Arabidopsis thaliana: one gene and its partners. The protein of the gene in region 2 purifies or fractionates together with the protein of the main gene of each other region. This does not show direct contact. Each region holds a gene or a part of one and is shown on either strand. Other genes may lie near its edges.

The links.
Region 1: the proteins of SUS2 (region 2) and EMB2765 purify together in Arabidopsis thaliana (affinity purification with mass spectrometry; 2 studies listed by BioGRID, with this or other methods). This does not show direct contact.
Region 3: the proteins of SUS2 (region 2) and AT3G18790 purify together in Arabidopsis thaliana (affinity purification with mass spectrometry; 2 studies listed by BioGRID, with this or other methods). This does not show direct contact.

What each region holds. Positions count from the first base shown.
Region 1 is NC_003071.7:16,208,797-16,212,549, reverse strand, and holds the start of EMB2765 (P-loop containing nucleoside triphosphate hydrolases superfamily protein), read left to right. Parts: upstream 1-2,121; 5' UTR 2,122-2,296; coding exon 2,297-2,713; intron 2,714-2,792; coding exon 2,793-2,882; intron 2,883-3,083; coding exon 3,084-3,146; intron 3,147-3,391; coding exon 3,392-3,478; intron 3,479-3,567; coding exon 3,568-3,720; intron 3,721-3,753. Other genes in the region: AT2G38780 (cytochrome C oxidase subunit), read right to left, coding at 185-337, 705-1,039, 1,248-1,698.
Region 2 is NC_003070.9:30,115,786-30,119,538, forward strand, and holds the start of SUS2 (Pre-mRNA-processing-splicing factor), read left to right. Parts: upstream 1-2,061; 5' UTR 2,062-2,266; coding exon 2,267-2,550; intron 2,551-2,685; coding exon 2,686-2,809; intron 2,810-2,882; coding exon 2,883-2,975; intron 2,976-3,066; coding exon 3,067-3,457; intron 3,458-3,542; coding exon 3,543-3,753. Other genes in the region: AT1G80060 (Ubiquitin-like superfamily protein), read right to left, coding at 517-769, 844-926, 1,020-1,119, 1,198-1,297, 1,544-1,739. UniProt on the Arabidopsis thaliana protein: Functions as a scaffold that mediates the ordered assembly of spliceosomal proteins and snRNAs. Required for the assembly of the U4/U6-U5 tri-snRNP complex. Required for embryo development.
Region 3 is NC_003074.8:6,475,945-6,479,697, reverse strand, and holds AT3G18790 (pre-mRNA-splicing factor ISY1-like protein), read right to left. Parts: upstream 2,038-3,753; 5' UTR 1,846-2,037; coding exon 943-1,845; 3' UTR 939-942; intron 425-938; 3' UTR 116-424; downstream 1-115. Other genes in the region: ACT2 (actin 2), read right to left, coding at 2,866-2,931, 3,018-3,631, 3,710-3,753.

The DNA of each region.
Region 1 (3,753 bases), on a different chromosome or scaffold from region 2:
TATGATCTATAAATAAGATTCTAAAGACAGCGACTAGAAATTCTTAAGATATAGCTTGAAGCATTCTCATTGAGAGCAAAATTATTCTGTAAATGAGATTGTTTTGCAATATTACTTCAAAATTAACTTCAGCATCAGGTCTGCCCTCAGAAAAGTTGTAAGAACAAAAATGTATTTGGAGTACCTTCTCACACTCAAGTTTGAGTTTGGGATCAATGTTCAGTCCGAGTGATTCCTTGTAGGCTATGAGCAATTTTTTTGTCTTTTCTTCTCTCACAATCCTCTCTTCAGCGGTCTCAACTGAATCCCCCGGTCGGAGTGTCCTTCCACCACCAAACTTAAACAAGAAAAGTATATATCTCAATCCTCATTACTTGAGACCATAGATGCCAGCAGGAAAATATACACTCCAAAACCATCGAAGTTAAGAGCTGATGGTTATAGCCAACAATCCAAAATGTGGAAAATACAACCAACAAATCATTTTTGATGCATCATATTTCACAGTAGACTAAATGGTATGCGAACTAAATAATAAACCCATGAAACCTTTCTGGCACTCCTACCTCTAATAATCTGGAGTAAGTGGCTCTATATACCCTAACTTAACAACATTGGACATGCAACTTCTTCCCTCTTGGGGGTTTATGAAAAAAACTAATCCAGTTGCATAACACATATCTTTAGATGGGCCAGTCACATACCGTCTTAGAGATGTTGCTAGGTCTTGGGAAAACTCCCCATGTAGAAACTTTGGGTTTATACACATCAGAGTTTCCATCTCCTTCTTGCTCAACCTCCTTTACTTTCTCCGCAAATCTTGTTTTATCACCAACAATAAACTCCACCTCAGGTAAGTCTCCTTCAGGAAGATAGTCAACAACAGGAACAAGTCCCGCTGGAAGCCCCCTCGTGCTCTTCTTATCAGCAAAGCCAAGCCCCATGAAATCAATGCTGGAGACTTTCAATTCTTTCTTCTTAACATCATTATCTTCAACAACCTTATTTGCTAATCTAACGAAACTTTGATCTGTATTACCTGAAACCCATGAGAACAATTCTCCATTAATACAGCTAAAAATCAAGGCTTTACTCCTAAATCTAATCAAAAACCAATCTTTTCAAGGAACAGGCCACGAAAAACACATGAATGATGTACTAAAGACTATTAGAAAAGTGCATTGATCTACAAACTCAAGCAAAGACAGTTACAAGAATTTTGTGCAAAAGATGATTTTTTACTGAACTGGGTTTAGCTTTTGCGACAGCATCAGTTCCAAGTCCTTTCCTTTTCTTATAATCATTGGCTTTTTGCATAGCAGCCTTAACAGAGAGCGGCAATTCCTCGTCGCCGGCATTTTTCTCTGGTTTTTTTTGCTCTGATTTCGATTTCTTATAAGCTTCGGCTTTCTTCAATGCGAGCTTCACCGGATCCACATCGAGCTCAACCTCTGACGAGCGGTCCGGTGAGGACGAGTTGCTCCGAGTTCGGAAAAGTGAGAGTTTCAAGGATTTTGGGTGTTGAGATGGAGAAAAAAAGAAAGCGGGAGTTTCGGTGAGTGGAGAAGAGAGCCAAGAGTGGTTGAAAGAAGCCATGGTTTGGTGGAGAGAAGAGCTGGTTAGCCATTTTTGGAGTGCAATGTTTTCACAGACTTGTGGACTCGTGGATGCAACATCACCACCCATCCATTTCATCATTGGTCTTGGTCACTAGAGCGCATAAACAGTTCGTTTTATTCGGTTTATATTCGGTTTAGATTGATCAATTATGATTCGAATTCGTTTATTTTGGCTCAGTTCAATTTTTTTTTATGCACACTCATATTTAAGTTGTTTTATTTTAAATCAAAATACTAATTTAAAAGAATGTAAAGTTTTATGTTATCCGATTGCATAAATTTGGTTTTAGTTTGGTTTATTTGGTACAAATTACTGTTTAATGTTTTTTAATCATAAGAAATTCAGTTTTGGTTCGATTCGGTTTACTTGGCTTTTGCTCACCATTATTTATTTATATTAATTTTACTCTTAAGATTATTTCTAGTTCCAGTCCAGACTAAAATACTTCTAGCCCAATATCGGCCCAAGTCCAGCTGTAATTAAACTAGCATCACTCGGGTCGGGTCGAGTCGGTCGTAACCGCCTTTTATCTTTGACGTCGTCGATGAAACTCTCACCTCCGCTTAAGCCCTAAAAATCTTACTCTTCTTCACTCTAAATCCCTTCTCTGAACCTCTTCGTTTGCTGTATGTGTTGATTTCACTTCTCTCTGAGCAAGAAGCTTTCGCGTGAGAGAATGACGAAGGTCTATGGAACTGGCACGTACGACTTCAAGCGCCACAGAGTGGCGGAGTATCCATTGGAGTTACCTAGCCATCCTGCTGAGAAGCCTCTAGAGTCAAAGCCTGGATCTAATTTGCCGAGCTCCATCACTTTATCGGAGATTCAGCAAGATAGGTTAACGAAAATCGCTGAGGAGAGCTGGATTAAGACTGGAGGTAAGCTCCCTGAGAAACCGTTCGATCCGGAGGTTGTGAAGGAGATTTATGTGACGGAGCTTAAGGTAACTAGTGGTCGTAAACCTGTTCCACTTCAGCGAGTTATGATTCTGGAAGTGAGTCAGTATTTGGAGAACTATCTATGGCCGAATTTTGATCCTGAGACTGCTACGTTCGAGCATGTTATGTCTATGATTCTTATGATTAACGAGAAGGTAACTAATCTTGCTCTCTTTCGTATTGGACTGTTGGAGCTGTAAACAGTGGAGTTTAACATTGCTACATGCTTTGTAGTTCCGGGAGAATGTGGCAGCTTGGATTTGCTTTCATGATCGGGATGATCTATTCAAAAAGTTTCTACAGAAGGTTCTTCGCCTTAAAGAGGTTTGTATTCTACCTGTTGTTTTAGTTTTTGTGATTCTAGTGTTGTTCCTGTTTGTGATAATTTGGTTTGTACCTGTGATTTATAACATTGTCTTATGCCTGGAATTGACTTCGCTATATATTTGGAGGCATAGTGATAAATCATAATTAGCCATTGCTAAACCAATCGTATATTTATATATCATTTGCTTACCATTGTAGGGAAGAGACTTGACTATTGCTGAGAAGACAAACTATTTGGTCTTCATGATTAATGCTTTCCAGGTTTGTTCCGTTTCTTGCATGTAACTTTTGAATAGGTCGTAAGTATTTAGAATGCTGTTGCGCCTGTTTCAGATCAGAAAATTAATACATGATATAGTAAGCAGTAATTGCAGACAATATAGCTGTGTGCTACTCAGTAAATTGTTTGTTTCACGTGGAAAACCTTATTATTCATGTTTGTACACAAATTATATCCTTGTGCTATTTTGTTTTTCTTCAATATTCTTAACTGTGTGATGTTACAGAGTTTGGAAGACGCAGTGGTTAATGAGATTGTTCTAAGTCTAGCAGGATTACAATCTTGGCACAGCTTGTCTTATGGACGTTTCCAGGTGGGTGTTTCCTTCACATGGATTTTGTTAAGGATGGTGAAAATATTTTGTAGTTGCTCTGATATCGTCATTGATTTTTACAACTGTAGATGGAGCTCTGCCTTCAACCTGATCTAATTAAAAAGTGGAAGAGGTCATCAAAGAAATGGGCAGCTGAGGCAAAGTCAAAGGGAGAGAAATTTGATTTATCCTCATCCCCTGAAGCAAATTTTGTTCGAGGCCTAATAGAAGAATTCGTTGAGGTATATAGCCTGTTTTTATTGGGTTGTAGTGGT
Region 2 (3,753 bases):
GCACCCTATGAATCCAGATTGTCAACAAGTTAACTTTATACACACAGACAAATATGACAACGATAGACAGTTTTTACTTTTTAATAAAACAGAGGCAAGAAGATGAGCATATGCTAGTGGTGGGGCGTGTCATTCTTAGATTCTCGGGTGGAACATAGGTTTGACCAGCAAAATGGTGAGGCCAATTATTGGGCTCAGTAGGTTGGTATGGGTTTAACCATTTTCAGCCTATATAAGGTTTACCTTGCCATATTACTTCAAAATTATTCAAAATCAACACAAATACTCAATCCATTCTTGTTTTATCACAAATCAGATGATCTTACTACTGTGTTCTAGGCTGAATTTATGCGAATAAAAATGTACCTTCCTTCAGCTTTCACAATGCATGAAGATAGATATGAAATTTGTAAAACTATGGATCTTTTGATACAATCCTGGACAACAAATTCATAAACCAATAATCATTGGAAGAGATTAAAAAGGGGACATAGGAAGAGGTTGTGACTTACGGATTTACATCTTGGGTCTGCCACCGAAATGCTTCAAAGAAAATCTGGAGGGACCACTGCGACACTCGGGTCCTTTTCTGGAAACTCCCCAACGTCCAGCATATGGCAACCATCCTTTAATTAAGTTAACTAGTCTGGATTCTGCTGCCGGTAACTCGTCTTGTGCTCCTGGATAACACTTCTCAGCTACATCATCCACACCGTTCTGGTTTTGGTTTTGTATTTGGATTTCGTTGACAATGGATGACACATCCAACCTACCATACAAGGATTCTTTAGCAGAGCATTGAAATGCAGAGACGATATAGGAAGATTGTTACAAAGTACTTACTCGAGGTACCGCTTGCAACTCGGGCTCTTGGATCTTTTGTTCATAGGAGAGTGGTCTATCGACAAATGCCTTACGAAATGTAACTGAAATAGAGTGAAAGGGATGTTAAGACTTTCAAAGGAATGAGATTGCGTGCATACGATTCTTATATAGAAGTGAGAAGGAGTTTAACGAACTTGGTCTCCATCATTGAGACCGAGATAACGGATGCTAGTCTTGTCATTGACTAATCTCTGGTCTCGATAACACAAGCAAAAATGACCCCAGACGTGAGACCTGTAGGCAAAGATCAAAGTGAACGACTGTACCAGAAAGCTTAAGCTGTGAGAATTTTCATATGAAATGATGATATACCATGAAATCATGCCGTGACCTTCCAGAGGAGAAATGGTGAATACTTGTTCCACAGCTCTTTTGAGCTCTGCCACTGAGCAATCCTTTGCAACTTCCACATCTATTGATTCGTTGGAAACCATTTAACTTCTTGAGAGGCCAAATCAGAAACAGTAACCAAAAAACTAGTTGATACTTCATCCAAAATTATGTCTATTAAGGCTCTTAAACAATGATTTCTAACAGCAACAAAAAATTCCGGATTAGAGATCGATTAGGGTATCACCAACTGAGGGAACCGTTGAGCTTGATTGTAAACTAAACTCTTAAAATTGCTATTTCGGAAACTGGATAAGCAAAATCGTACCGAAAAGGGAGCCGTTGAGCTTAACGACGGAAAGCTTGATACGACCCTGAGGAGGAAGTTTCAGGTAGGAAGATCTCCGTCCAGAAATCGAACCACCGTCGTTTAAAGCAAACGATGACAAGAAGCGTGGATCTATCAACGACCTCAGTCCTCCACTTCGACGACCGTCCCTAACCGGACTATGCTCTTCTCGCATTGCCGATTCTCCCGGATTTTCACCGACAAGATTCTGCTCTCTTTGCTCTTCTTCTTCAGCCTTCAGGTGACTGTTGAGGAGCTGAGCGAGCGAGCGAGAGAATCGGGAGAGTTTGTTTTCCGGGGAAAAACCGCAATTACTGCTATATAGCTCCCCAATAAATGCCAAAACAAAAAATCAAATTAAAGTTTGTCAATGGGCATCACGGCCCAAATCTAATAATCAAAGGCCCAATAACTTGATTCGACAATACTTAGCGGGTTTGGATAACCGCCTAAGCATCTGTTCGACACCGCCTATTTTTTTTTTTTACTTACTCCTCCTGATCTGCTGATATAAGGCCGAACGGGAATAAAAAAAAAAAAAAAGGAAGAAGCGACTCACCCGAAAATGTTTTAGGGTTTTTCTTTACTCGATTAAGCTCACTAGTTCTTCGCAACGTAGTTAGAGATCGACACTGGCGCGGTGGATTTAGGGTTTTTTTCCTCCGCGACTACGCTCGGCGTTTCGATTTGGAACCCTAAGCTATGTGGAACAACAACGATGGTATGCCCTTAGCTCCTCCTGGTACTGGCGGGTCCATGATGCCGCCACCTCCCGCTGCTCATCCTTCTTACACGGCGCTTCCGCCGCCTTCTAATCCGACTCCTCCGGTCGAGCCTACTCCTGAGGAAGCGGAGGCTAAGCTTGAGGAGAAGGCCCGAAAATGGATGCAGCTAAATTCCAAACGGTACGGCGACAAGAGGAAGTTTGGATTCGTTGAAACTCAGAAGGAGGACATGCCACCTGAGCACGTCAGGAAGATCATCAGGCTAGTTTTCTTCTCTTCTTTCTCTACCATTTCGAAATACAGTTTACTTGATAATTATTTTCTGGCTAGGTTTCTAAGATTTGGTTAGGATTTACTTATTTTGAGACTGAAGCTGCGATTTCTTTCTTACTTCAGAGATCATGGTGATATGTCATCCAAGAAATTCCGTCACGACAAACGTGTATACCTTGGAGCCCTTAAATTCGTCCCTCACGCAGTTTTCAAGCTCTTGGAGAACATGCCTATGCCCTGGGAGCAGGTACATTTTTTTTCCTTTAGCTTCAGCTGTTTTCATCGTCTGTTCATTTATCTAAATCCTCATTTTCTTTCAGGTCCGAGATGTAAAAGTTTTGTACCACATCACCGGAGCTATTACATTTGTGAACGAGATACCATGGGTTGTGGAACCTATTTACATGGCTCAGGTTGGTGATTAGTCTTATCTCTTATTTACTGTCTCTGTGCGCTGATGGATTTTCAATAGCTTTTGATGGTTATTCCATTCTTGTTTTGCAGTGGGGTACTATGTGGATTATGATGCGAAGGGAGAAGAGGGATCGTCGTCATTTCAAGAGAATGCGGTTCCCACCTTTTGATGATGAGGAGCCTCCACTAGACTATGCAGACAACTTGCTGGACGTGGATCCTCTGGAGCCAATTCAATTGGAGCTAGATGAGGAAGAAGATTCTGCTGTCCACACTTGGTTTTACGACCACAAGCCACTCGTTAAAACAAAACTGATTAATGGTCCCAGTTACCGGAGGTGGAACCTCTCACTTCCAATCATGGCAACCCTTCACAGGCTTGCAGGCCAGTTGCTGTCTGATTTGATTGATCGCAACTACTTCTACTTATTTGACATGCCATCTTTCTTCACAGCAAAAGCTCTGAACATGTGCATACCTGGTACGCCATTTTCCTTCTATGCTCCAGTTTTTATATTTTTGCTGCGGGTCCATTGCTTTTAATGCATTCTCCTACTCTTTTCCAGGTGGACCCAAGTTTGAACCTTTGTACCGTGATATGGAGAAAGGGGATGAGGACTGGAATGAGTTTAATGACATCAACAAGCTCATTATTCGTTCCCCTCTGCGTACTGAGTACAGAATAGCTTTTCCCCATCTCTACAATAATCGGCCCAGGAAAGTAAAACTCTGTGTGTATCACAGTCCTATGATCATGTATATAAAGACCGAGGATCC
Region 3 (3,753 bases), on a different chromosome or scaffold from region 2:
TGGGGATTGTGTGTAGGAACATGTGGGTGTGGTTCGTATCTCTAGACAAGTATTATCCATCTCAACGGTCTTGTTCTGATTTTTGATGTTTTGTCCGTACTCAATAAATATTTTACTGGGAGTAAAATCAAAACCAGAAAAATGCTTGTGGTTGGTCTCAACTTATGTCTCTGCATAGCACCAATCTAGTTAGAGCCAAAGGAACAATGTATAAACCTCAGGCAATGAGCATTACATTCAGAAGTATAAAGATACAAAAGTCGAGCTACATAATAGAATACACTAGTTCAGTTCCAAGTGACATTGTATCTTCTCCTTGAGTCTTTCACATTTGTTTCCATGAAATCATATTTCAAACGCCCAACATCGTTTCTTCTTTAGGCAAGAGACCATCGCGGCTGAGTTTGTTGGTAAAACAGAGCATCTGAGAAGCATAGAGATGATGTATCAGCCTCTCAGATTCAATTCAAGAGAAGATATAATACGAATTCCTTCGCATCCTAATGCATGCCACTAAGGCACTAACTAAAGTATGTCCCATTGAAATAACAGTTTCTGCAAATCTAAGCTCCACATACAAGGGTACTAGGTCAATTACTCAGGTCAGTGAAACTCTTGATTAATGAAGCAAGAATGTACGTTGTTGTTATAGATTGATCGCGCTTTATGACATTACTCGACAGAAGCCTTATCATACTCTCAAACAGACCAGGACTACTAAGGAAATATAAATCAAGATCTAGCAAATTCTCTAAGATCATAATCTAGGATGTAATAATATAAGAAACATCAACAAATTTTTAGAATTCCTCTAATCGAAATTTCTTAAAACACACAGCAGTTCAGTCAATTTTCTGATCAAAAACTGCAAAAGAAACTACAGACAATAAAATTATACTATGATATGATTAAAAAGCCTTACAAGAAGAGATGATCACCTTTCTATCTATGAATATTGAGCATGGATTTAGCCTCAGTCTGCTGCTCAACCAAATCTTCACTAGCATACTTACTAAGCAGATCCATCTTCTTCTTCTCCAACACCATCTTCTCAATCTCCTTCTCATCAGGCAACGGAACATGAACCACAAATTCCCTCTCTTTCTCCTCCTCTTTCTCCCTCTCCATCCTCTCCTCCTCAACAACATCCTCCTCCTCCTCAAACAACACTTCCCTCGCCGCAGCAGCTGCAGCTCCAACACTCACAACCTCACTAGCACCTTTCCTAGCTTCCTTCCTAACCTCATCTAATCTCCGCCACTCCTCCACCGATCTTTTCCTCATCCCTCCTTCAGATTTCCTCTCCAACTTCTCCAAAATACCATCTTCATCATCTCTATACCCATAATAGCTAGCATCAATCCTTTTATATATATCATACCTAGTTTTACGCTTCCTCAGCTCAGGAGGCTTCTCAAAAAGCTCTCTAACACCAGGAAGTTTCTTAGCAGCTCCGAAGTAACGATAACCAGGACCACGACCACTAGGGTTAGGTACATCGATTATGTTACCTTCTAGATCCGTCATCTTCGCCGAATGTTTCGAGTAATTGTGACCACCTAGCTCAACGATTCGCCGCTCCCAATGATATCTCTCCCTGAGAAGCTTGTTAATCTCATCGTTTAGATCTCGAAGTCTGTGCTCTCCTAATCCTTCGTTCTGAATCTCAGCTACTTTGCTACCGATCTCTCTCAAAATTTGCTGTCTCCATTTGTCTGCTTCAGCTAGATCTCTACATTCTGATGCGAGGTAAGGTCGACGCTCTTTTGGCTTCTTCTTCTCAGATTCTTTCTGGGTGATGAATCTGTTGAGCATCGACTGTGCTTTCTCTTCATTACGAGCCATCTTGGGTCTTCGGAGGTTACGATTACACTAGCAAATCTCAAAGGAAAGCAGAATCTAACAGAAGAAGAGATCGAGATACTTCTCTAGCTTTTTTTTCTTACTTAAACCCTAATTTGCAGGATAACGAGAAGGAGAGACGCGGAAGAGAGAAACTGAGAAAGGATTGGGGTTAAATTGGTAATTAGATAATTGTTTCGCCGGAAAAAGAAAAATAAAAATTGTTTCAAGTTCTACGTCCTTTTCCAAAGCTAAGGCCCAATTTATTAGCCCATATATGCTATATAAGCATCAACTAGATAGGACAATATTTTAGGGCCCAAGGAAGACTCGTTTCGAGTATTGATTAATTCTTCAACGAGTTGACTTTTTGGAATCAAGATGTATAAACCAAATGTGCAGGACAATTTGAAATTAATTTGTTATATTTTGCATCATGTAAAAGGATTAATAAGCGAAAAGAGTAACGAATAGATACACCTCGTAATTGTTTTGGTGTAAAACTTGAAACAGTAGAATTGACGATTGGGGTTATATAAAATGGTGCGATCTTAAAATATCTGACTTTGTGCTAGTTTAAGTTCATTTGTGAATGGAAGACATGTAACGCTTTAACTATTCAGAATATCAGTTCCAAGTGAAGATGGAGGTAGCAAAAGTAAGACTAATAACCAAATCAATAAAAATCTTATACAATACTTATATTAACATTGCAAAGAGTTTCAAGGTTTTTCTTCTGAGTTTTGAAAGAAATTATAGGGAACAAAAGGAATAAAGAGGCATCAATTCGATCACTCAGAGCTACAAAACAATGGGACTAAAACGCAAAACGAAAGCGGTTTTTTTTTTTGAAACGCAGACGTAAGTAAAAACCCAGAGAGTTTGTCACACACAAGTGCATCATAGAAACGAAAACAAAAAGGGAAATGAAACAAACAAATGGAGAAGCAAATATAAAAGAAAAAAAGAAACTTTGATCCCATTCATAAAACCCCAGCTTTTTAAGCCTTTGATCTTGAGAGCTTAGAAACATTTTCTGTGAACGATTCCTGGACCTGCCTCATCATACTCGGCCTTGGAGATCCACATCTGTAACCAACATATACATAAATAATCAGCCTTTGATTTCAATTTGCATGTAAGAGAATTCGAAACAAAATCTGATCAATTTTTACCTGCTGGAATGTGCTGAGGGAAGCAAGAATGGAACCACCGATCCAGACACTGTACTTCCTTTCAGGTGGTGCAACGACCTTAATCTTCATGCTGCTTGGTGCAAGTGCTGTGATTTCTTTGCTCATACGGTCAGCGATACCTGAGAACATAGTGGTTCCACCACTGAGCACAATGTTACCGTACAGATCCTTCCTGATATCCACATCACACTTCATGATTGAGTTATAGGTTGTCTCGTGGATTCCAGCAGCTTCCATTCCCACAAACGAGGGCTGGAACAAGACTTCTGGGCATCTGAATCTCTCAGCACCAATCGTGATGACTTGCCCATCGGGTAATTCATAGTTCTTCTCGATGGAAGAGCTGGTCTTTGAGGTTTCCATCTCCTGCTCGTAGTCAACAGCAACAAAGGAGAGCTTCTCCTTGATGTCTCTTACAATTTCCCGCTCTGCTGTTGTGGTGAACATGTAACCTCTCTCTGTAAGGATCTTCATGAGGTAATCAGTAAGGTCACGTCCAGCAAGGTCAAGACGGAGGATGGCATGAGGAAGAGAGAAACCCTCGTAGATTGGCACAGTGTGAGACACACCATCACCAGAATCCAGCACAATACCTGTTCAATGGAAGATAATCAGAGCTCAGTTCAAATAATGATCAATGAGTATAAACAAAAAGCCTAAAATGTACTAACCGGTTGTACGACCACTGGCGTACAAGGAGAGAACAGCTTGGATG